Linked DNA regions of Oryctolagus cuniculus. The protein of the gene in region 2 purifies or fractionates together with the protein of the main gene of each other region. This does not show direct contact. Links are inferred from orthologs where the notes say so. Each region holds a gene or a part of one and is shown on either strand. Other genes may lie near its edges. The genes, in order: CCDC115, ATP6AP2 and ATP6V1F.

Region 1 (8,362 bases), on a different chromosome or scaffold from region 2:
CTTCCCCTACCCCACCCTCCCGCCGGCCTCAACCTCACCAGGTGTGCCTCGGTGCTCGTGGACCACCAGCAGGTCAGTGACCCCATTGGCTTTGCAGGCTCGCACCAGGGCCCCCACCTCATGGCGGCCTCGGTTCATGCGCTGCGCACCCGGGAACACCAGCTTCAGCTCCTGCACAGGGACCACAGCGTTCGGTCAGGACGGCGGCGGGGGGGGGGGGCGTCCTGGGTGTCGTCCCCCCACCCCACTCACTCCCAGCCCACCGGTACCTTCGCAAACATCTTAAGGCGGGAACTGGGGTCCCGGGAGGTGGTGATCATGATTTTGGGGTCCTCAACCCCCGCCCACCGATATTCATCATCCATGTGGCTGGTCACACCTGTCAGGAGCATGAGGAACAAGAATACAACGCTGCTCTGGGGTGAAGGGCTACCGTGGGGCGGCCGGCTCTGTCGGAGAACGAACACACGGACACACACACACACGCGTGAGCGCGCAGTCGACGAAGGAAGTCTCCTGTGGGCGCTTGTGGCTGCCATGTCAGTGCAAATCCCAGCTCTGCTAAGGTCTACACCAAGTATCTGTAAGGTTTCAGATTCCTTTCCTCCCCGTTGAATTACACAATGAATGAAAGGTCAGACTGCCAGCGACGTGCTGGGGACACTGTCCAGCCCCGGCAGACACTCCAGGGGCAGAGATGACCAACAAGAAGCAGCGGGTATGCGGGGGTGCCACCGTGTGTGCAATCGGGAGCACCATGCAGACACAGGGGCGCTGGGGGACGGTTCCGGGGGTGACTGCTGTGCCTGTTTCCTCAGCCAGGAAGAGCCCAGCGTGTCCAAGAAAGACACAGACAGAGAGGCCAGCGGTGCTGTACTGGGGACAGGACTCAGATCCCAGGGGCAGGGAGGGCCACATGGCATAGTCACCTTCACCGCCGGCATCATCAAACTCCAGGGATCCCTGCAGGGCCAGCGCCTCCCGGCGGAGCTCGGTGGGGATCAGGCGGTTCTCTGCAGAGGAAAGACAGAGGGGCTGAGCGACACACAGCACGGACCCTCGGCTTCCACCCACATCCCAGCGCACAGCCCCCCGGAACCTGACGGAAAGATCCCTGCTCCTTTTGGAGCACAGGGGATGCAGGGTAACTAGGAGAGGAAGATGGCAAAGCAACACATTCTGGCGACGTGTTAACCTGGGAATGCTGGGTCCTGAAACTTCACTTTCTGGGCTTCCTGGCGCTCACGAACTGAAGGCTTTCTAGCTTACCGCAAGCACATGCATTATTTTTAAAGCCAAATGGATGGGTCAGCATTCTGGTGCAGCAGGTAAAGCTACCACCTGCAGCGCCAGCATCCCATATGGGTGCCAGTTCGTGTCCTGGCTGCTGCACTTGCAGTCCAGCTCCTGGCTAATGCTCCTGGGAAAGCAGAGGAAGAGAGCCCAAGTGTCTGAGCCCCTGAACTCATGTGGGACACCTAGAAGCAGCTCCAGGCTCTTGGCTTGGGCCTGGCCCAGCCCCAGCCATTGTGGCCATTTGAGGAGTGAACCAGCAGATGGAAGATCTCTCTCTTTGTCTCTCCTCCTATCTCTATAACTGCCTTTCAAGTAAATAAAAAGCAAATCTTAAAAATAAAGCCAGATAGCACAACTTTTTTAAAAATATGGATTTCTTAAGGCCTCAGCAAGGAGAGCACTGAGCGAGATGCACCGAACGCCTGCAGGTGCATGGCCTCAGCTGCTTTGGGTCAGAGGTTCCTCAGGACCACGGCTGGGTGGGCTGAGGTGCTATGCTGGGGGTGCCCTCCCTGGGGTCCAGAACTCCACCTGGGCACACCCTGGGAACCCCACTGCTCCCCAGACAAAATGGGTGTGATGTAAGAACAAACAACAGGAAAAGAACAGTTTATTCTTAAGTCACACTCCTAAGTTAGGGAAAATATTCCCAAATCCCAGTGTAATGATCGCTTGTCACTTCTTAAAGGTAGAGGGATGTGTCACCAGTACGTAACACCATGTGTACACTTCACAGGCCTAAAACCAGGGGACCACAGAGTGAATGCAGGTTCTTCCGAGGAACTAGGGGAATGCACTACCATACAGAAAACAAAGTTCCATTGGCAGAAGCACCAACAAAACAGAGATAAACCCGGCATTTCCAATCTGGCATGTGTGCCACAGACTCCACGCTGCAAGTGGCAATGAAAGATTACTGGGGCCAGCGTTGTGGCACAGTAGGTTAAGCCTCAGCCTGAATCGCCGGCATCCCATATGGAAGCCGGTTCGAGACCCGGATGCTCCTCTTCCAATCTAGCTCTCTGCTATGGCCCGGCAAAGCAATAGAAGATGGCCCAAGTCCTTGGACCCCTGCACTGCCAAGAGCAGCAGGAAGAAAAACCACGGCGGGGAAAGGCCCTCCAAGACTCCGCTAAAACATCCACGCTGGGGACGAGCCACGCGGAGGCTACAGCGCACAGGGCGGCTCCGCGACGCGACACAGCACGGGCAGGGGTAGACCCACCGGGAGCCGACCCCGCCCGCTCGACCCCACACCCTACCTTCGAGCGCGCGCCGGACCTTGTCCTTCCTCTCCTGGGCCGACCGCTGCGCCTCCTCGCGGGCCTTGCGGTACAGGTACTCGCGGCGCAGGCGGGCCTCGCGGCGCAGCTATCGAACAACAACTCCGGTCACCACCCGCCCCAGGCCCGCAGCCCCAGCGCCAGCCCTCGACGAACCGCCGCCCCCCGAAAAGAAGAGCTCCAACCTCACTCCTACCATGATGGGTGCCCCTTCCACGTGCGAGGCAGGAGAGAATGTGGAGACCGCTTGAGCGGTGCTGCCCTCACTTCCGCCCTCACTCAGGAAGGGCGCTCCGAGGCTTCGCAGCAATCGCCTACTATTGACAGCGCCCGAAGTTAAGGTGGCGAACAGAAGAAGGGCGCCTCCAGGCGATTGGCCAGTCCGGCGCGCGTGCTCGCTGGAGTAACCAATAGGCTGGAGGCAGAACGCTGTCACGTGACGTGGGAGGGCCGTTAACAAATACGTCGGCCGCCGAGGGCTTCCGGAGCGGCTACCCACGGGCGATAAACTGCTACAGCAGTCATGATTGACGACTCGAGAAAACCTATCGGCTGTAACAGTAACACAGAGAATAATTGGGAAGGTACCTGAAGGCGCCTTCTGTAATTAAAGCCACTCTTTCCTTAAAATGGTTGCCAAACGGCTTCGCCTTTTTCCATTGCTATAGTGGTAGGATGATTTTTAAAATGCCACTTCCTCCACATTTAGCCCTCGTAGACTGTGCAGCTGGTTGATCTACTTGGGGCATTAATTGAGGAACTCGGCTCCTATACTTCCCGCCGGGAGCCTGCCCTTAAACTGCGTGATGCGATGAGAGTCTAGATACCGTTGGCGTGTCCGGGTCCTTTGGATGGGAACGCCCCCTTGGGGCGTGTCCCGCATGCCGATTGGCTGATTGGGCGACCTGAAGGAGGCGGCTCCAGACCCGGTCCTCAGCCGACCCGAGACCGAGTGTGGCGGCCCCATGGCGGCCCGGGACGTGCGGACGGAACTGGATTCGCTGATCCTGCAGCTGCTCGCGGACTTGGAGGAGCTGGAGGCGAAACGGGCGGCGCTGAACGGCCGTGTGGAGGAGGTGAGCGCCGGGGGTGAGCAGGGGGTGGCACTCGCGCGGAGGTAGACCGAGTCTCCAGGCTCTCGCTTCTCCACAGGGCTGGCTGTCGCTCGCCCAGGCGCGCTACGCCATGGGTGTCAAGTCGGTAGGCCCCCTGCAGTACGCCTCCCGCATGGAGCCCCAGGTGTGCGTGTGCGCCAGGTGAGGAGCCTTGGGTTCCGGAGCGGGTGGGCAGGGTGCAGGGCCAGGCCGCCGACACTGTCCCTTTTCGTCCTCCAGCGAGGCCCCGGACGGACTCCAGAACTTGCGAGTGGTGAGAGCCGGCGCCCAGATTCCGGAGGAGGTGGGGCCCCGCGAGGCAGGTGAGCCCCCTCCCCCTCTTGTCGGGGCCCCGTCCCGATGTCACGGGCAAAGTGCACACGCAGTCCAGGAGACGGTTCCGTTCAGGTCTGGAGATCATCGTGTCTAAGTAAGCGGAGGGTTACAGAAGTGTTGTAAGCGGTTTGCTGTCCAGGGAACCGGAAGTGCCCATCTTGTGTCCGAGCGACCACCTGCCGCTCCCAGTTAAGCATCCCTGAGACCGAATGGGCAGCTGGCGGGTCCGTGGCCCGTCAGCACGTTCAGGCAGGTGGGTAAGGTCGCTGTGTGGCCTCGTCCCGGGCAAACAGGGGCCTGTGAGGGAGCGAGCTCAGAGAGTGTCATCCCAACCCTGGGAGGCAGGCTGGCTGTTTCCAGGAACGCGAAAGGCCGGGGTTTTCCAGCCAGCAGTGTTTTCCAAGAATCACGAGCTCACCATTAAGCTCAACACCGTTTCCCAACCCCAGCCTCCTCCAACGTCTCCTTCCCCAGCTCTGCGCCGGCGCAAGGGCCCCACCAAGACGCCGGAGCCTGAGTCTACCACAGCGCCCCAGGACCCCCTGAACTGGTTTGGAATCCTGGTTCCTCACAGTCTGCGGCAGGCGCAAGCCAGTTTCCGGGATGGTGAGTGGTCGCCGTCATTCTGGAAGCCCAATCAGGAGTAAAAGGGACAGACCCCTTCCCTAGACGTCTGTTTTGTGGAGGGGAGAAAGACAGGGTGCAAAGAAGTAGGCCCTTAATGTAAAACTTGTGGGGAAAAAAAAAAAAAAAACACAGACTGCGGGGTGGGGGGTGGGGGGGTGTAGAGAGGATCTCATGTTACAGGAAGGATGGAGGCGGTTGGTACAGTGGCAAGGCCAGGAGCTGAGGGCAGGGGATCCAGGCCTCTGGGCCCAGGTGATGCAGGCCCCAGAGAAGAGGACCCTGGGAGTCCGAGGGTAGCTGTGAGCAAGAGATGGCACAGTCAGACTCCCAGAATAACAGGCATTGTTTGGGTCCGGCACTTGCTGGGGACAGACTGGAGAGCAGGGGGAGGGAGCTGGTGCCAGGAGCAGCCAGGTGTGCGATGCAGGTGGAGGCAGTGGAGGGGCACGTGTGCCTGGAGGGACCTGCGTGCGTTTTGAGAGTAGAAGCCCCGGTATGTGCTGACCAATTGGATGTGGGGGTCAAGGGGAGTCAAGGAGAGTCCACAGTCTCTACCAGATGGATATCGGTGGCAGCAGGGTGTGGGTGCAGGTGTGTTCTGAGTGAGGTGTGGTGTCCACCATGCCCAGGGAGAAGCTGAGTGGGTAAGTGGGCACACGTGCCTGGAGCTTAGGAGAGGCCCGTGCTGGAGACACATTCAGGAGCCCACTCCATAGTGCGGTGTCTGAATGACCATGTGGCTGACACAGATGCAGGGTTAAAGCAGACACAGGTTGAAATCAGCACGGGCCTGGGGGTGCAGAGAGGAGACTGAGGAGCGGCACCCAGAAAGCGGGGGTGCTGGAAGCCCAGAGGAGAACGTTTTCTGGTGGGAGCGATGGAATGTGTGGTCAGCACTGCTACTAAGCGGGCCACCAACAGAGCAGCATGGACAGCAGCTGTTTCTGTGGACACTGGGCAGAAAGCGGATCCGGGGTGTGGACTCTTCTGGTGGAGGGAGAGTGGGTGAGAGCAGTGAGGGCCTGTGACCGGCGGAGGGAGGAGCTAGGATCTGTGACTTGCTAGTGAGTCCAGGGGGCCAGGGAAACCTGAGGAGGAGGTGCCATTGTAGCATCCCCCTAAAGGAGGTGAGGGTGATGAGGGTGTGGGCTCAGCATGGTTGTAGAGCAGCCAGGGCAGGCCCCCTGCCTGGAGCTTGTCATGAGCTGTATGGAGGACAGAGGCCACAGTGACCCTCTCTGCTTCTTCTCCAGGCCTGCAGCTGGCTGGGGACATTGCCACCCTCCAGATCCGCATCAGCTGGGGTCAGAGCCAGCTCCGGAAGCTCCAGGAGAAACTCAGGCAGCTTGAACCTGGGGCTGCCTGACCTGCGAACCCAGGGGCCAGGGCCCAGAGCACAGCTGTCCAGGGATGTGGCTATCTCGCCTGCCGTCTGCCTCCTTCATGAAGAGCCCCTGCCCCTGGCCGCAGCCCAGCTAATGTCCCCTCCTTCCAATGTCCCTGGTTTCCACGTTTGAAACTCGGTTAGGTGTGAAGTTTGAAGAGGAGTAATGTTGAAAACCACTGCTTTGAGACCACCTCCAGGCCCATGTTGCCTGGGGCGGGTACACAGGCTGCTCACTGCAACAGTCATTTAGATGGGTCAGCTGAGGCTCCACTGTGGGGGAGGGGAGGTGGCTGCCACGGCAGGGAAGACCCAGAAGTAGTGCTTCCGGCACACTGGCTCCTCAAAGGGGCCGAGTGGAGGGCGGGAGCTCCAGGCTGTGGCTGCACCGACCTCGGTTGTCAAGGGTCCCGGTTGTCAAGGGTCCCGTGAGGAGAGACCCTCGGGGCTTTTCAAAACCTGCCTTTACCTTACCCGGAGCGAGGCCAGGCCTCTGGTCACGTGTTGAGGGGCCATTTGTGTTTCCCTGTGCGGGAACTCTGCCCTCGATTCCTTTTTCCACTGAGTTGGTCTTTTCGGCCATCTCTAGGAGCTCTTTCTGTTTGGGGGGAATTCGTCCTCTGTTCATAATACCAGCTGTAAAATGTTTCTTTCCAGTGTGTCTTTTAACTTGGCTTATGGGGTTGCTCTTTACAATTCTGTATTATGAAATAAAACCTCGATCAAATTGCACAAAACAACGGAATGGCTTAGGAAGTCGGGCGTGTCAGCGGTCGGGGCCGCGGCTGAGCAGGGCTGAGCGACAACCCGTGGCCGGGGCAGGGAGTGGGGCTGCGTCTCGCTCGCCCCTCCAACGCCGGCCTTCCTGACCACCTGGGGCTGCAGCCCGGACCGGGGCCGGACTCGGAGGTGGGCTGGGGGAGTCGGTTTCCCGCGGCGCCTGAGTGGGAGCCTCCAGGCGGGACGGCCCACCGCAGCGTGGGGCTCATGCCGGCATCCCGCAGTCCACGCTGGGCCAGCTAGGGAAACAGGCCAGAGTACGGACGCGGCCGCAAGCTCGGGCCACGTTGGGACCACAAAGTCTGCCTGGGCACACCAGTCACGGCCTCGCGGGCACGCTCCGCAAATGGGCGGAGGGGGACAGCAGATTCCCGGCAAAGCGCGCTCCACCCGCCGTCTTGGCTTCGGGTCACAGTGCGGATGGGGCCGGGGCTGGCGCAGCCGCAGTGAGGACCAGCTGCCGGCGGGCGGGGCGGGGCGCGCGCTGTGGTGCGCAGGCGTGTTGGGGAGGTGCGCGCGGCCACGCTGATGTAACAGCCGTATGCAGACACAGGAACCACCCATCATCAGTTCCCATATGGTCTAGCGGTTAGGATTCCTGGTTTTCACCCAGGCGGCCCGGGTTCGACTCCCGGTATGGGAACGAAGAGTTCGTTTTTCCTTTTTCTCGTTTTGTTTTTTGCTTTCCTCCTTTCTCCTTCTACCCTTGGGAAAACTTGCTCCTTGCCTTTGGTTGCTACCTGTGGCTTGGAAATATCCACGTGGGTTTTGTTTTTAGGCATTACAACAATTTGTCATTGGAAGCTAAGTAGTTTTCCCCCGTTTGAAAGTGGAGAAGCCGAGCCCCAGCGACTTCAGGGGCGCGTGCTGTCGCGCAGTGATCCAAGTGACAGTTTTCATCACAGGGTTAGCTACTGTTCCGTCCATCAGTAGCTCACTGATGACGACTCTGTTGGGTGCCACGTGCACTACAGATGTGAACAATATTATAAAACTGAAAAATAATGCTGTCTGATCAGAATGTGCTGTCGAAGTCCGCTGTGTGTGTGTGGGGGGGGAGGCGCCCCTCCAGCTCCTCCCACACAAGGCAGCCCACCCCTCCAAGCCCCCATCAAGAAGGAAAGCTGGGGAGGGAGAGGGGAGGAAGGGGAGAGGAAGGAGAGGAAATAGAGGAGGGAGAAGAGGGAGGAAGGAGAAGGGGGAGAGGGGAAGGGGTAGGAGGGAAGGGGAGGGGAAAGGAGGGAGGAGGGGAGGAAGTAAAGCAGGAAGGGGAGAGAAGGGAGGGAGGAGGAGGGAGGGAAGAGGAAGGAAGAGGAGGAAGGAGAAGAGGGAGGAGGGTGGGGGAGGAAGGGAGGTGAGAGAGAGGACAAGGAGGAAGAGGAGCAGGCCTGGCAGCAGGGGGTGGGGGGGCTGGGTCCCATGGGTGAAGCCCCATCCTCTGGAGATCACTAACAAAGGACCTGGCAGGGGTCTCCAGTCTGGTTTGCTGCCTTGGGGCCAGTGGCCAGGGTTCCGGTGTCCTCGGCCAAGAGGCGGCTTCACGGCCCCAGCACAGAAAGAAC
Region 2 (7,635 bases):
AACCACAATGCAGCTAAATCTGAGCATAAAGACAAAATGGTTGTTTAGGATTGTGTTCAGATCAGCATTGGCCATTTTCCCCATCCAGTCCCGCTGCAGTGTCTGGTAACCATCAGTCTACTCTCTGTATTTAAGCCAGCTCTTTTAGATTCCACCTACAAATGAGATCATGCAGTATTTGTCCTGTGCCTGGTTGATTTCACTTATCGTAACGTCATCCAGGCTTGTCAGTGTTGTTGCAAATGACAGGCTTCACCCCCTTTTTGAGACTGAATAGTCCTCCCTTGTGTGCATACGTCACACTTTCTTAATCCTGTCACCTGCGGGTGGACCCTGGGCCTGCAGCGGACACGGCGTGCAGGTGCAGACAGCCCTTTGGCGTGCTTTCATTTCCTTCGCATACACAGGCTGAAGTGGAATTGCTGGCTCAGGCGTTAGTGACCTGTTGCACAGAATGGTGCAAGAATGGCATAATAATAATGCATTGTGTTCTTCAAAATTGGTTAAAGAGTAGATTTTAGATGTCTTAGCCACAAAACAATGATAAGTACGTGAAGTGATGGATTTGTTAACTAACCTGATTTGATCATTCCACGATGTGTACATGTGTCAAAACAGCACACTGAACCTCATAAATATATACAATTATTTGTCAGTTAAAAACGAAAGTATGTGGAAATGATAAAAACAAACAAAAGATACGACTCCTAGGGTTTAAAATATACTGCACACCCAGCAGGTAAAGCCAAATTGGTATCTAGATATAGAGACATTACAAAAGGAAACAGAAGATCTTAAATGCTATCAGACAGAAAAGACATTATCGTTACAAAGGAATGAGAGTAGAATGATAATAGATGTCCCCTCATTGTCACTGCCACTGCGGACCAGGAGAGTCAGAAGGGAGAAGCAGTGATTGTGGGGTGTAAGGTAGGCTGCCAGTATTACTTACCTAGCGTCATAATGAAACAGTGCTAAGCAGGGACAATGCCATGGAACGATTGGGAGGCTGGAGAGACGGAAAAGGATCCCGGCGCTGGCAGGGGCTGGGGCTGTGCTTGGGGTGTGGGAGAGCTCATCCTCGTGTTCTAGAAGGGACAGGACACAGGAAGCGCCTCAAATGGAAACATCGATTCAGTGAGCTGAGTGTCTTATTTAGAGCAGGTGGTAAAAACAAAAGGAAGTAATTGACGGATTGCAAGCTGAGTCCCTCAGAAGGAATGCAAAGTGGCACAAGAAGTCTTATGGACCTGTTCGTCTCTTTAAGCCATGTGTGTATGTCACTTTGGAAAGAAATTTATTCTAAAAAATCAAGAAGAGTTGGAACAAATAGATACACTCTTAAATAATGCGTGGCTTGAGGAGGAAGTCACTGTGGGAATTTCTACAGTATTTGGAAGTGAATAGCAATGAATGTGGCATATATTTGTTACAAAGTTGTAGGGTGCAGCTGAAGTGGTAAGAGAAGGGAAATGTATAGCCTTACCTGTGCATGTTAGACAATTTAGATGGAGCACGATTGGAAATTAATGAGCTTAAAGAAACCAGAAGAGTTTCACAGGAAGTGCGAGTAAAGTGGGAGGGAACCATACAGATGAAAAGGCAGATTATTTTTCCCCCAGGAGTATTTATGTAATGTATTATGCAACTTCGGAGAAAAATATTATAGGAGATTTCCTTTAAATAAAAAAGTCCAAAATGCCATTTCACGATTCCCAGCAGCATGTAATCACAAAGTAGACACTGGCAAATGGCCCGGGCGCATTTCACACACCCGCAAGCTGGGGAAGGAGCTCTTTCTACTGCTTGCCCCTGATTGGCCGCTCTCAAAAACACTTTTCCCCCACCAGAAGCTGCTGAGACGTAAGGCTCAGAGCACAGACCCTTCATGATATTTTTTAAAACCTAGAAGTGTTAGCAGAGATGGGTGTGATAGGGTCTTGTCTGCTCGCAAGAAAGAATTCAGACGTGAGCAGAGAGTAGCAAGGTGTAATGGGGTGGGGCAGCCATGAGAACAGATGGGCACCTCTGCACACAGACTCTGAGAAAGAGCGCCCACTCACTCGGGCTGGGGAAGGCAGGGTCACAGGGTTCCATGGAGAGAATGCACCTGGCAGGCCGGGCGGGCGGCTCAGCAGAGTGCTGAGAGCTGAGCGCAGTCTGTACTCACGCTGGGGCTTCTAAGGGGATGGGCCCAGTTCTCTCCGCGTCTCCCCCTCCTCCTCCTCCAGGACGAAGGGTTTGCTGAGTGTGCGTTAGGTGAATTCCTCCCAAGGGTTCAGGACGCGGTGCTGTCAGACTGGGGGGGTTCCTGGCGCCAGGCAGAGGGGCTGCCCCTAGGGTGCCTGCCCTGGGGGAAAGCTGTGAAGGTTTTATTGCTCCACGTTGTCTGGTGAGGTAGCCCACGTTGTCTGGTGAGGTAGCCCACGTGGGGCTGAGGAGAGAGGATCTCGGGAGCTTTCCTGGGGCGGGAAGGCTGGGACCGCCTGGAGAGTTACTGGGCTCTGGGCAGGACTTGGTAGTGTGAAATCCTGGGCTGCTTCCCAGGGGAGCTTCTGCAGCTGCTTTGTCTTCCTTAGCCCACTCCCACCCCAACACACTTTCTAACTTCCACCCGGCACCCAGTGCCGTCTCACCAGTGAGATGTGCTGGCGAGTCTCTGTCACTTGCTCATGTCGGAGAGTACTTCAAAGAGTTTGTGGGAGATGGAATTACAAGATGTTTATTTTAAGACCTCTTGTATGCATGTATTTCAACTTTTTTGCACCAAAATAAACTTGTCTTTCAATTCCATTTTTCCTTGAACATTTTGAAGTATCTTGTAGTCCCTCCAAAGCCTGAGGAAGTGAGCTTTCTGATGGCAAAGGGAAAGCGCTGGCAGCCGACTCCAGGAGGCTGGCAACAGGAAGCTTTTGCAAGTTTGCACCCTCTTCAGTTACTCATTAACTCATTTTAAGAAAGTTTTTAGAAGAGTTAATGTGCATCCTAAGTAAGAGAAAAAATTGATTTCATTTTGCAGTATCATGAAATTGATAAGCTTAATTTTGATGCTGGGATTTCATCAGCAAGATTTATATAATCACATCGATTTCTGCCTGTAGCACATTAGCATTAATTTGCTACTTATAAACATGAACCGTTCAGTAGGAAAGGGAACTACTGGAGGAAAAAAATCACTACTGCTTGTTTGAGTACAGTAATATAAGGAATAATTTTTTGAGAAGAAAATATATATATATTTTTAAATATTTATGTGAAAGGCAGATCTGCAGAGAGAGAGGGAAAGACAGAAAGGCCTTCCATCTGCTGGTTGACTCCCCAAATGGCTGCAACAGCTGGGGCTGGGCCAGGCCAAAGCCAGGAGCCTCTTCCAGGTCTCCCACATGGGTGCAGGGGCCCAAGGACTTGGGCCACCTTCCGCTGCTTTCCCAGGCACATTGGCAGGGAGCTGGATTGGAAGTAGAGCAGCCGGGACGCCAGCACAGGCAGTGGCTTAACCTGCTGTGCCACAACGCCGGCCCCAATATATATTTTTAAATCACTTAAAGCAAAACAAGTATATGGGGCTAGAAGCCAGAGGGTGGAGGAGAGTGCCTCCGGGGCGCCAGCGTGCTCTGTGTCTTGATGTGGCTGCTACCCCAGGCACATTCCCTCGGAAGCCCTCGTTGAGCTGGGACCTTAGGGTTTGCGCCGTCTGTTGTATGTATGTTAACACTTGGCTAAAAAAAAAAGTTCAGTGAAAAAGTAGGTCTTTTCACAGCCAGCCTTTTCAGCTAATACCGTCATGTGGTCCCGAGATAAAGGCTTCAGAATTCTGGGGTGTGCTCTCCACCCCTTGTCTATGGGTCTTCAGGCCAGCTGAAGACAAACTCCAAATCTTAGGGAACATTTTTAAACTTTGAAAAGAAAATGAGGTCTGTTTTCTCTTACCGTTAAATTCAATAAATAATAATAAATGAATTCAGATTCCTTTAGCCTTCTCTTCGATGCAAGTTAATACTTTGCTGTGGAATGCACAATTCGATATGGTACATTTAATCAGTATTGAAACCAAATGTTTTGCTGCCTTGGATACACGAATAACCAGAAAATGGTCCGCGTTAGACCTGGGCCAATTATTTCCCACTTAGGCACACTGGCAGATCCCGACTCGGCCCACTAGGGGGCGGTTTCATCTTCTGTGCCCTCCACAGGGGGTCTTTTTATTCAGAAGTGATTTGTGTCTTCTAAATTTCCATAGAAAGTGCTGGTGCCTTCTCCTTGTAAGGCTCCTTTTCAATGCCATCTGAATGATTTTTCTTTCCACTTCGGTTCAGATAATAATGGTGGTTTTTTTACTCTTCTATTTCAGGCAGTTCCTTTTAGTCTTGACAGCGTTGCAAATTCCATTCACTCCTTATTTTCCGAAGAAACTCCTGTAGTTTTGCAGTTGGCCCCCAGTGAAGAAGTGAGTAATGAAGTTTTTATTGATGCTTTTAAAACTAACCTTTCATTATTTCATGATAACAACACTAACAATTTTATGAAAAGCGCTGTGAGACCTGGGTAAATTGGGATTAATCTGTAGACTGTCACGTAACATCTGGGATTCTCCTCGCAGAGAGTGTATATGGTGGGGAAGGCAAACTCCGTGTTTGAAGATCTCTCGGTCACTTTACGGCAGCTTCGTAACCGCCTGTTCCAGGAAAGCTCCATTCTCAATTCCCTCCCCCTCAATTCTCTGAGCAGGAACAATGAAGTAAGTGGAGTGGTTGCTGAATGAGCAAATGAAAATCATCATTAGTTTCCTATTCCTTATGCCGTTTGAGATTTTAGAAAATGAAAGTTGTGCAAGTTTTCTGCTGTAGTAGATTCTCTGTGGTTGTTCTCATATAGAGCTCGTGAGTAAACTGATTGTTTTTGTGAACTGAGCTGTAGAAAATAGTATTACCTTCTAGCATGAGGGTCCGGTCCCCCTCCACACACACTGCCACCATTACTCAAGATGGGTCAGAAATCGTGTCTCCTTGGCGGCTAGCGGAACCATGTAGTCCTGGTCACATGGAAGCCATTGTTCAGTGCTACTGCCACTTTTTTTATTTGAAAGGCAGAGTTACAGACAGAAGCAGAGAGAGAGAGAGAATCTTCCATCTGCTGGTTCACTCCCCAGATGGCCACAACGATGGGCTGGGCCAATCTGAAGCCAGGAGCTTCTTCTGGGTCTCCTACACAGGTGCAGGGGCCCAAGGACTTGGGTCACCTTCCACTGCTTTCCCAGGCACATTAGCAGGGAGCTAGATCAGAAGTGGAGCAGGTGGGACTCGCACCGGCACCCATATGGGATGTCAGCATTGTAGGCGGCAGCTTTATCTGCTACGCCACAGCACTGGCCCCTTCCGTGAGTTTTTTGAAGTCCCCTTGTACAGCTCTCTGATGCATATTTAAAGTAATGCTCGTTTCCTTTGGCTCTGAAGGTTGACCTGCTCTTTCTTTCTGAACTGCAAGTGTTACAGGACATTTCAAGTTTGGTAAGTTGCCTGCTCTCATTTCTCAGTTCCATTTGGCCTAGTTTCTAGAGAATTCCCTGAATGATAGTGAAGACATTTGAAAAGTTTATGCCCAAGATTTGTGATCTCATGAAAACTGGGAAATTAGTGGTGGTGTTGGGAGTTGTAAACTCATCTCATGTTAAAGACCAATTACTTGACGTTTCTACTCTTAGGAGAGACAATATATCCTCCAAGGACACAGACCTGGGAATAAGAACGCCTCAGCTGTAGTCCTAACTTGACCATTGAGTTCTTCTCAGACACTAAGACTTACTTTTTGCATCTTTGGGCCTAAAATAGAAATAGCACTTTGGGCTAATAGTGCTGTCGAAAAAGTCAAGAGGAACTAAATCTGTCTGAAAGGCATTTTTGTGGTGAATGCATTTTAGAAAATCATCCTTGTGACTGAAATCAAAATTCTTACCTATCTGCTTGCTGCTGAAGTTGGTTCCTAAGCTTTGCAGCAGGTGTTGCTTTGGGGGAGGGAGAAGTTGTGGAACTATAGTGCTGGGACGCTAGGAGGTGGTCTCGGAGGGCCCGTGGGAGGCGTCTCCCCTTTGGCCACCAGTGGCTCGTGTATTCCTGAGGCCAAGCCAGGCCAGCCATCTGTTCTTTAACCCCCGGGCTCGTATCTGAAGTTTTAGAACTAAGGCATTTTGTGATGAGCTTTTATTACATATTCAGGGGGTCCGGAACTGCTCCTAACAATGAGATTTGTGTTAGGTGGGTTTTATCAAAAACCTCCGCTTAAAGCCAGTTCCCCTCGCCCCCACTTTAGACTGTCTGTCTGCCGTGGCATGCTGCTGTGGTTCTCTGTAGCCCAGTGCAGTAAGGCATAAAACCTCAGATGGCTGTGTCTGATGCTGTACTTCATCCATGATCTTGTTTTATTTGTTCTGCTAAGTTGTCACGACATAAGCATCTAGCCAAGGATCACTCTCCAGATCTGTATTCGCTGGAGCTGGCAGGCTTGGATGAAATTGGGAAGCGCTACGGGGAAGAGTCTGAGCAGTTCCAGGATGCTTCTAGGATCCTTGTGGACGCCCTGCAGAAGGTAAATGCCCCCTGGGTAAGAGAGGCGGGGGCACGCCCGTCTCACGCTGAGCCTCACGGAGAACTGCTCCATGAAACACGGGCAAGTCTTACGTGTCCTCTGCGGGGGACCTCTCCGCACAGTGGCCAAGGACAGAGCGGGATCAAAGGTGGCGTATGTACATTGGGATACTTTTTCCTGACGTTGGAAGGGGCAGCATTAGGAAATGAGTGATACATCTGGTATAGTACTGTGTGTGTGTGTGTGAATATATAAAACTTACCATTGGAACCATTTGTAAGTGTATGGTTCAGTGGCCTCAAGCATATTTACATATTGTACAGCCATCACCACCTCTATCACAAGAACTTTCTTATTTTCCTCAGCTGAAACTCTGTACTCATTAAGCACTGTGAGATAGCCAAAGTAGAATACCTAGCACGGTGCCAGACATTTAGTAGGTGCATAATAAATGCTTGTTCTCTACCCTTGAAGTTGCCCACCTGCAGATCTCTAGTTCTTTGTAGAAGTTTGTGATTAACCAGAGAGGACTTAGGAAGACTGCTGTTTATTATTATTGATTTTTATTTACTTGAGAGGCAGAGAGACACTTTCCAAATGCCCACAATAGCCCAGGCTGGGCCAGGTCAAAGCCAGGCCCAGGACTCATTCCAGGTCTCCCACAGGGGTGGCAGAAACCCAAGTTCTTGAGTCATTTACCTGCTGTCCCCCGGTGTGGGCATTAGCAGGAAGCTGCAATTGGGAGTGGAGCCAGAACCCAGACCTCAGCACCGCGACATGGTGTGCAGGCGTCCCGAGTGGTGTGTTACCCACTGCACCGAAGGCCCCGCCCCAGGAAGATTCCTTCATTGCGCTTTCTGCTTCCCTTCCCCAAGTTTATATGCCAACAAGTTCAGTCTCAAAGTAATTTCATTTTATTTAGATGTTAAAGCTGAACACTTCTCTGAATCTATTAACATAATCAAAACCTTTAAGACTCGCATGTTTTAAGACATAGTGTATATCGTGAGCCAGTAGGTGAGTGTATGGTTTTGCAGCTACATGGAGGCTTTA
Region 3 (8,095 bases), on a different chromosome or scaffold from region 2:
CTCAGTCCAGCAGTGAGTCCCACTGAGTGTTCCTCCGGAGTACCCTGGATTGCAGCGCTACTGCTAAGCCTTAGCCCAGGTCACGGTCATTTCATGCCAGGATAACTCAACACAGATGCCTAACTCACCAGTCTCCAATTCTCACTAAAGGAAAAAAAAAAAAAAGCCATTCCCTATAGAACAGTTGGGGTAATTCTTTTAAAAAAAGCCAATCAGGACCACCCACTGCTTAAAACCTTCCATTGGCTTCTCAATAAAATCCCAACTCCTCTTTGTCATGCAGTGCTCAGCTTTCAGGCCCCAGAGGCCTCTCCCGAGCCCCCAGACCTCTCCATGGTGCCTGTCCCTCTTGTACCTTCCCTTCTCTTCCTGAATGTGCCCGCTCCCTGGCACCTGGCGCTGCTGTGGGGCAGGTGCCTAACCTGCGGGGCTCAGGGCTCACCGAGCTGCCAGCCGTATGTGAAGCTGGTGGTGATGGGGAAGAGGTAGCGTGTTTCGGGCAAGTCCAGCTTGCGCGTGCTCAGGTAGCGGTAGCGGCCCTGGAAGTCGTGGGAGATGCCTTCGTACAGCAGGGCCCGGGTGGCGGGCAGCACCGGGTACATCTCCGACTGCAGGGGAGCCTCTGCGGCAGGGCTGGGCGCCTTGGGAGGGGCTGCTCCGGGGGCAGGAGGGGGTGCGGGTGGGGCCGTGGGCTGCAGGGTGGGCAGTTTGAGGGGCAGTCGGGCTGCGGCCTTAGCCTTCTGCTTGGCTTTCACCAGCGACCCGTACTTGCGGTGCCATTCACAGCGCAACATCTTCTCCCTTAAATAGTCCTCCTTCCAGAAGTTCTGCCGCAGCGTGTCCATGTTGAGCTGCCGAGACATGGCGGCAGGGGGTGGGGGAGCCGTGCCAAGGGCGAGCACGGCAAGCACACTGCGGCTGGCAGCAGGTGGCCGCCCTGGGGCAGTCACCAGGCAACCAGGCCTCACCTCACACAGGGGCAGGGTTCCACCTGCTGCGCCCACACAGACCTCACACGCCCCACTCCTGAGGCAGCCTGGAGCCCGGGCCCAGTGCTGAGATCCTGACACCGGCTGGCGCTGCAGGCCCCGGGCCCAGTGCTGGGATCCTGACACCGGCTGGCGCTGCAGGCCCCGGGCAGGATCTGGTATCACCGGCTCCCAGGTTTCTTGTGCTTTCTGCTAACTTCCCCCGGCTCAGGCCCCCTTCTGCCCAGTGCAGACTGAGGCGGGAGAGCCACAGGCTGGGCTCAAGCCTCGTACCCCCACCCCCCCAGCTGGTCTTTTTGAACCAGAGGGCCAGTGCCTGAGTTAGGGCCTCCTGGCACATCTTCCTGGGCCAGCTCGTCCATGCCTGGTCCTTGGTGGAACATTTTCCACCCCTGCCAATCTCATCTCCCCCAGGAGCCTCATCTCCCCCCCCCCCCTTCCTGTCCAGTACCCAGGCCCAGTTTTTGGACAGAAGCCAGAATATTACTTTAATTTAACATGGACAACGACACTGGGCGACAGCACGGGGAAGAGGTCGTGGAGAGAGAAGACGGTCAGGCCTCCTGTTCCCTAACCAGCCTGGCTTTTAATAGCAGCATCCCAGCAACCTAGATGCCCCTCACACAGCCTCTCCCTGGGGTGGGAAGGAGTGGAGACGTGGAAATCAGAGGCTTGAACCTTCAGAGCGGGGCTGGGGACAAAGCCGGGGAGAGGCCTGGAAGGGCGGGAGGGGCTGAGGGCCGTGCTCCGCGGGGCGTGTCCTAGCGCAGGTCTTCGGCGGTGAACATGCCCCTGGCCCTGCGCAGGATGGAGTCCTTGGCGGCGTCATAGGGGTGCTCCTTGGAGGGGATCTCCAGCACGGCCGGGATGGAGCGCTGGTGGGCGTCCAGCGCGTGCCGCACCATCTCCGCGATGTACTGGTTGATGAGGATGATGCCGACGTCGTCCCGGCTGAGAAACTGCCTGCCGGGAGAGACGAGAAGCGAGTCCGGGGCAGCTCCCGGCGGCCCGCTCGGAACTGCAGAGGAAGAGGAGTGACCCGGGGAGCAGAGAGGACCAGGGCAAAGGTGGAGTCTGCTTGACCCAGAATCAACTGCACTCAAGAGCTCAGGGTTCTGTTAGCCAGGGCCTGCTTGTACGCCCCTGCCTGGGGAGCTTCCGAGTGAACCAAAGCTGAAGATGAGGGTGTCCACGCGTGCGCTCAGGGTGCTGCCCTGCTATCAGACAGGGAAGGGTGGGGATACGTGTGGGGCGGGCATTCGGCTCAGCGGTTAAGATGCCACTCGGCCTGGACTTGGGATGCCAGCGCTGCAGGCGGCGGCTCAACCCGCTGTGCCCCAGCGCCAGCAACTATGCATCCCTTCCTATCTGCATGAAGAGCTAGGAGAGTGATCAGGCAGAAGCTAAATGGCTGTCTACAGGAGCAGACAGGGAGATGGGGTGTGTGTGTGTGTGTGGCAGGAGGCTCCTCAATGTACACCTTTTTTTTTTTTTTGACAGGCAGAGTGGACAGTGAGAGAGAGAAAGGTCTTCCTTTGCCGTTGGTTCACCCTCCAATGGCTGCCGCGGCCTGTGCGCTGCGGCCTGCGCACCGCGCTGATCCGATGGCAGGAGCCAGGTACTTATCCTGGTCTCCCATGGGGTGCAGGGCCCAAGCACTTGGGCCATCCTCCACTGCACTCCCGGGCCACAGCAGAGAGCTGGCCTGGAAGAGGGGCAACCGGGACAGAATCTGGTGCCCTGACCGGGACTAGAACCCGGGGTGCCGGCGCCGCAAGGCGGAGGATTAGCCCATTGAGCCGTGGCGCCGGCCTCAATGTATACCTTTTAAAAACTGAATTGGAAACCACATGAAGGCATTCAATGTCCAGAGGAAACCAAATCCATTACATTTTCGAAAAACAGGACCCAGGGGGCCTCAAGGTCACCATGTCTGTGCTAAGGGAGGACGGGGTGCCTGGCCCAGGCCAAAGCACAGGTGGGAAGAGGAATTCAGCACTGAAGGGCTCGCACTTTCCGCACAGACGGCCCTGGCCCTGCGGAGCCCTGGCCCGGGACGGCCCGTGCGTTATTTCTCAGGAAGAGCTCCGTCCTGGGCACCCACCCTGTGCCCGACCCTGTGCCCGGCAACACTTGATCTCGAAGTTTCTTTTTGGTTGGAAGCATGGACAATCCTTGGAGTAAAATTCCTCCTTGTCCCATGACAACCCGGGTCACCCTGCCAGACTGCTTGGTGATCCGCAGACAGCTGCCTCCCCAGGGCAAAGCCCCACGGTACCCCAGGCAGCAGAACTGGTTTCAGCCAGCAGCTGTGGGCTGGGCTGTTTAGGGGGAAACAAGTGAGAGAATTCCTGAGACTCGGCAAAGGGAAGGGGTGAAGGAACCAGGGCAGCTCCATTCTAGCACCAGGACACCTGCGGATTAAAAGGCTCAGCTGCGACCGTCGCCCCTGACCCAGGGCAGGAGAGGAGGACGTGAGGTGCAAGGTGTGAGCAGCCCTGACTTTGGGTACCACCACCTGTAAATGGGAACACTAACCCCCACCTTCCAGGTCGACTGGGAGCCCCTAGAGGATGTGGAAGTAGGAGAAAGCCCGGCTCCACGGGTGCGCACCGAGCGCAAAGCAGCCCAGCGCCTGCAAGGCTCGCAGCCGGCTGTGCCCGTCACCAGCTCTCTTCCTCTTCTTTCCTGACACACGGTCATGTGAGAGGGAGCGCGCGGACCTGTCACGACCACAGCCTCAGGCCCACCGAATCGCAAGAGGGAACGGGGGACGGGGGGCGCAGAGGCCTCCAGGCCGGCGTGAGGAGGCCCGCCCTCGGGTCGGGGTCTGACACCTCGGTCCCCGGGCGGCCGCCCCTCGCCCCTTCGCTCCCACCCAGGCGGCAGAAGGGCCCGTTCAGGCCTCTCAGGCGACCGTACCGGAAAGTGTCTTCGATCTCGGTGATGGTCGTGTCCTTCTCCACCACCAGGAAATTAGGGTGGCGGTTCTTGTTAAGCTCCCCGATGCCGCCCAGCAGGAAGCCAGTCACCGTGTCCTCGTCTCCGATCACCGCGATCAGTTTTCCCCTCCCTGCCATCCTGGTCGCGGCGCAGAGAGCGGCCCCGAGCTCCCGAAGTCCCCGAATCCCAGCTTCCGCACCTGTAGCCGGGTTGGCCTCGCCCCCGCCTTTCAGACATGCGCAGTTCGGCCACACCGCCTCCAGGACATGCGCATTAACAGCAAGGCCGCCTCAACCTGAATATGCCTGCGCCATAAAGAGAGGCCGAACCCGAGGACTACGATTCCCAGAAGGCTGAGCGGCCGCACGGCTTCCTATTGGCGTTGCTTGGTTCGTTCTGCAGAAGCAGCGCTGTGGGACCCCGCAGGAGAAACTGCACTCGCTGTTCTCAAGGGCAAGAACATGTCTGTATCATGTATGTATGTATGTAGCCATGACTCATAGTTAACAGTTACTGAATACAGAAAGTTTGTGGGAGAATGGAATTAGAAGTTAAACTGAGGGGCAGGTGCTGTGACGTGGTAGGCTAAGCACCCACCTGTAGCGCCTGCATCCCAAATGGACACTGGTTCGAGTCCGGGCAGCTCCACTTCCGATCCAGCTCCCTGCATGGCCTGGGAAATCAGCGGAAGATGGCTGAAGTGCCTGGGCCCCTGCACCCATCTTAAGTGTTCAAGGTAAGGCAAAAACCACTTGCACTGGAGAGTATAGGGCATTCAGGAAAAGTTAAAGAATCTGGAGGTTTCCCTGAGGACAGCGGTTCTAGAGCTGCCCGTGTGACTGTGGTGCACAGAGGCGGGGCTGCAGGAGCAGAGAGCACACTGGGACGCCTCTGTGGTTAGAGATGGTGGCCGATTTCCAGCAGTGGTCATAGAGGAGGTGGCTGGAGAAGAATGGACAAACCCTAATTGTTTTAGAGGCAGACATGGAGAGAAAGCCCCCTTTCACTGCCTGCAACGGCCAGAGCTGCGCTGGGCCAGAGCCAGGAGCTGGTAATGTGACCCAGGTCTCCCCTGGGGGTGGCAGGGACCAGTTACTGGAGTCATTGCCTCCCAGGGTGTGCGTTGTCGGGACGCTGCAGCCAGGAATTTGGCTCAGGTCTTCCTGTCTGGGATGCGGGCCAGGCCACAGCCAGGAGTCAGGAGCTTTATCTGCGTCTCCCACATGCACATAGGTGACAGGAGACCGAACACTGGGCCATCTTCTGCTGCTTTTCCCATGCCATTAACAAGCAGCTGGATTGGAAGTGGAGCAGCTGGGATGTGAACCCGCTACATCACAATGCCAGCCCCTGGATTTGGGTGTCTTTTTTTTTTTTTAAGATTTATTTATTTATTTAAAAGGCAGAGTTATGGAGAGGCAGACACAGAGAGAGAGAGAGAGACAGAGAGAGAGGTCTTCCATCCACCAGTTCACTCCTCAAATGGCTGCAACAGCTAGAGCTGGGCCAATCTGAAGCCAGGAGCCAGGAGCTTCTTCCAGGTCTCCCATGCAGGTGCAGGGGCCCAAGCACTTGGGCCATCCTCCACTGCTTTCCTAGGTCATAGCAGAGAGCTGGATTGGAAGTGGAGCAGCCAGGACTTGAACCAGCTCCATATGGGATGCTGGCGCTGCAGGCGGTGGCTTTACCCGCTATGCCACAGCACTGGGCCCAGAGTTTGGTGTCTTAACCACTAGGCTAAGCACCTGCTCCCAAACTGATTTTTGCTTATTTTATTTATTTGGGTGACAAGGAGAGAGAGAGTGCGTGAGCGAACAAGTAAGCTCTGGGCCAGGCCAAAGCTGGGAGCCAGGAACTCAATCAAGTCTCCCGTGTGGGTGACTGGAACCCAATTACTCAAGCCATTACCCGTGGCCTCTCAGGGTCTGCATTAGCAAGAGGCTGTAATTGGGAGTAAAGCCGGTAAAGTGTTGAACCCAGGCATTTCAACATGGGGTGCAGCAGTTCCAAGCAAGATCTTAACAGCTGTGCCAAACACCCACCCCCGAAACTGGTTTTTGAGTCGAATGTGGAGAGCAAGGTGGAGAGGCGCCCAGGTGATTCCCAGGTTTCTGGTGTGTGCAGCTAAATGACATGAGGAATGTTCCGGAAATAGTGGACTCTGTGAGATGAGGAGGTTGAAGGGGAAAGGACCACTCATTTATCTTCCCTTTCAACAAACGACATCCCCAGCGTCGGGCACGAGCTGTGTGTGAGGAGCGCGTGAGATGCCCGCATGGCTGGCCCACGAGAGGCCTGGGGTGTGCACACCCCTGCGTTTGAATGCGGGCCCCTCACGTAGCAGTGGGTGGCTTTGGGCCCAGGACCTCCATTCTCAGAGCCCGGGTTTCTTCAGCTAATCCTGCGCCCACCTCACAGGGCTGTTCTGGGGATGAAGTGAGAAAGGGCCCATGAATACTCAGCACCCAGAGCCCCGAGCGGCTGGGCTGGAGACCCGGAAATGCACCCACACACACAGTCGGCAGGCAGCAAACCCTCAGAGGAAGCCCTCCATGCAAGGGCGGGGGGCAGGAGGGGTGGGAGGAAGGGCCTGCCCCGAGCCCTGGGCGCAGTGCCTGGCGCCCAGCTGGCCTGCGGGGGTCACGAGTGCCGGGTGCTTAATAGGACACAGCACCTTCCATGCGCTTGCCAGTCACGGAAGGGGCAGGGACAGCGTCACACTCATCACCCGCTCGCTCTTTCCTGCAGCCACCCTTTATCAAGTGGGATTATCATCAGGGGCCGAAGACACAGGGTTGGTAAAAGGGAACTTCTGTCCTCAGGAGCTTCCTGCGGGGCCTGGGGGCAGGGTCCAGAGCAAGGAGGGCAGGGTCCCTCCTTCCCTGAGCGGGAAGAGAAGCAGCTTAAAGGGTGAGGAGGCGGGGAGGAGGTGGTTACCAGCTGCAGCTACAAGTGTTTCGGGTCTTCCCTGGTGCACCTGCCACCATGCGCCACAATGCCTGGGGACCGGCATGGGATAGCCAGGCCCACCGAGCAAGGCGGGTCCTGGTCCTGCTCAGCCTCTCGGGTGCTCTTGAACTGAGTCATTGGCACCCACAGAAGGGCCTCCTGGCCAGGAGCTGTCTGGCGGCAGAGGCCAGATCAGAACGGTGAATGCAGCCTGGGCCGTATGGAGGCTGGGTTGCTGAGCCAGGGAGGGGGCCAGGCAGCTTCCTGTTGGCCAAGAGGAATGGGGGACTCATGAGGCCGAGAGGAGGGGTTGGAGTGGATGGTGTGGAGTGGGCACACTGCCTGAGTCGCACCGGTGGAGGGGCTGGCAGTGAGCCTCCTGGGTCTCGGCCTGGAAGAGTAGGCGTTAGCCGGGGGCAAGAGGGAGCCACAGAAAGGCACAAACCACAGCCGGCCACAGTGCGTTCAGGGTGCCCCTCCTCCAGCTGCAGCCCAGAGGGTGGGCTGGAGGGAGCTGGCCAGGGCCAGGGGGGCCTAATGGAGGCGGCTGGTCCAGGAATCCGGGCCCAGGCAAGCTCAGGGCTACAGGTGGGGGTAGCGCAGGCCCAGTCTGATCCAGACACTGAGGACAGGATGAACTAGAACTAGCCATCTAGGGCAGTCTTCTAAGACATGGAGTCCCCCCACCCCCACCCTGTACTAGCCACCAACCCTCTAGCTAAGGACCAAGCCCTCATCCCCAAGCGGCCATCACAGGTTCTTCCAAGCATTCGGCCAACAGCCCAGATCTTGCCCGAGCCCGGGCCTGTCCTCTGGGGATGGCGATCCAGCCTCCGCCTGCCCAGGACCGCAGTGTCGAGAGGCTGGAAGGCCGCCAGCCCGGGGCGCGCACTCACAAGCAACAGCCGAGCCTCTGCGACAGCCGTACTTTATTTGGAGTTTTCTACCTAGGCAGCTCCCAGATGAGCCGCAGACATGTGCAAAAATCCCCCCAGAAAGCTGGGCCTCGCAGTGTGTAAAAAAGGCCCCCCATGGGGCAGAGCTGTGCAACCGTAAAAAAAAAAAAAAAGGAAAAAGAAAAAACGGAGAGAAATCAGTCCCCTGGGAAGGCTGGGCGGGGTGTGCATCGCTCGGGCAGTCCACGGGCTCTCGCTCCGGGTCTGTTTTCTTCTCTGATTGTGCCTTCTTTTCCAAGTCCTTCCACGCTGGGGGTG

What was found.
Region 1: the proteins of ATP6AP2 (region 2) and CCDC115 purify together in Homo sapiens (affinity purification with mass spectrometry; 3 studies listed by BioGRID and IntAct, counting the BioPlex papers as one, with this or other methods). This does not show direct contact. The link is inferred for Oryctolagus cuniculus from reciprocal best matches to the Homo sapiens genes ATP6AP2 and VMA22.
Region 3: the proteins of ATP6AP2 (region 2) and ATP6V1F purify together in Homo sapiens (affinity purification with mass spectrometry; 3 studies listed by BioGRID and IntAct, counting the BioPlex papers as one, with this or other methods). This does not show direct contact. The link is inferred for Oryctolagus cuniculus from reciprocal best matches to the Homo sapiens genes ATP6AP2 and ATP6V1F.

The regions. Positions count from the first base shown.
Region 1 is NC_091434.1:120,827,889-120,836,250, forward strand, and holds CCDC115 (coiled-coil domain-containing protein 115), read left to right. Parts: upstream 1-3,037; 5' UTR 3,038-3,544; coding exon 3,545-3,655; intron 3,656-3,731; coding exon 3,732-3,835; intron 3,836-3,913; coding exon 3,914-3,996; intron 3,997-4,483; coding exon 4,484-4,615; intron 4,616-5,889; coding exon 5,890-6,002; 3' UTR 6,003-6,757; downstream 6,758-8,362. Other genes in the region: U3 small nucleolar ribonucleoprotein protein IMP4, read right to left, coding at 39-171, 270-379, 930-1,013, 2,559-2,667, 2,776-2,778. UniProt on the Homo sapiens protein: Accessory component of the proton-transporting vacuolar (V)-ATPase protein pump involved in intracellular iron homeostasis.
Region 2 is NC_091453.1:26,472,069-26,479,703, forward strand, and holds part of ATP6AP2 (renin receptor), read left to right. Parts: intron 1-4,351; coding exon 4,352-4,447; intron 4,448-4,600; coding exon 4,601-4,738; intron 4,739-5,453; coding exon 5,454-5,507; intron 5,508-6,432; coding exon 6,433-6,582; intron 6,583-7,635. UniProt on the Homo sapiens protein: Multifunctional protein which functions as a renin, prorenin cellular receptor and is involved in the assembly of the lysosomal proton-transporting V-type ATPase (V-ATPase) and the acidification of the endo-lysosomal system.
Region 3 is NC_091434.1:165,052,241-165,060,335, reverse strand, and holds ATP6V1F (V-type proton ATPase subunit F), read right to left. Parts: upstream 4,275-8,095; 5' UTR 4,070-4,274; coding exon 3,912-4,069; intron 1,953-3,911; coding exon 1,751-1,952; 3' UTR 1,451-1,750; downstream 1-1,450. Other genes in the region: protein SPMIP1, read right to left, coding at 443-863. UniProt on the Homo sapiens protein: Subunit of the V1 complex of vacuolar(H+)-ATPase (V-ATPase), a multisubunit enzyme composed of a peripheral complex (V1) that hydrolyzes ATP and a membrane integral complex (V0) that translocates protons.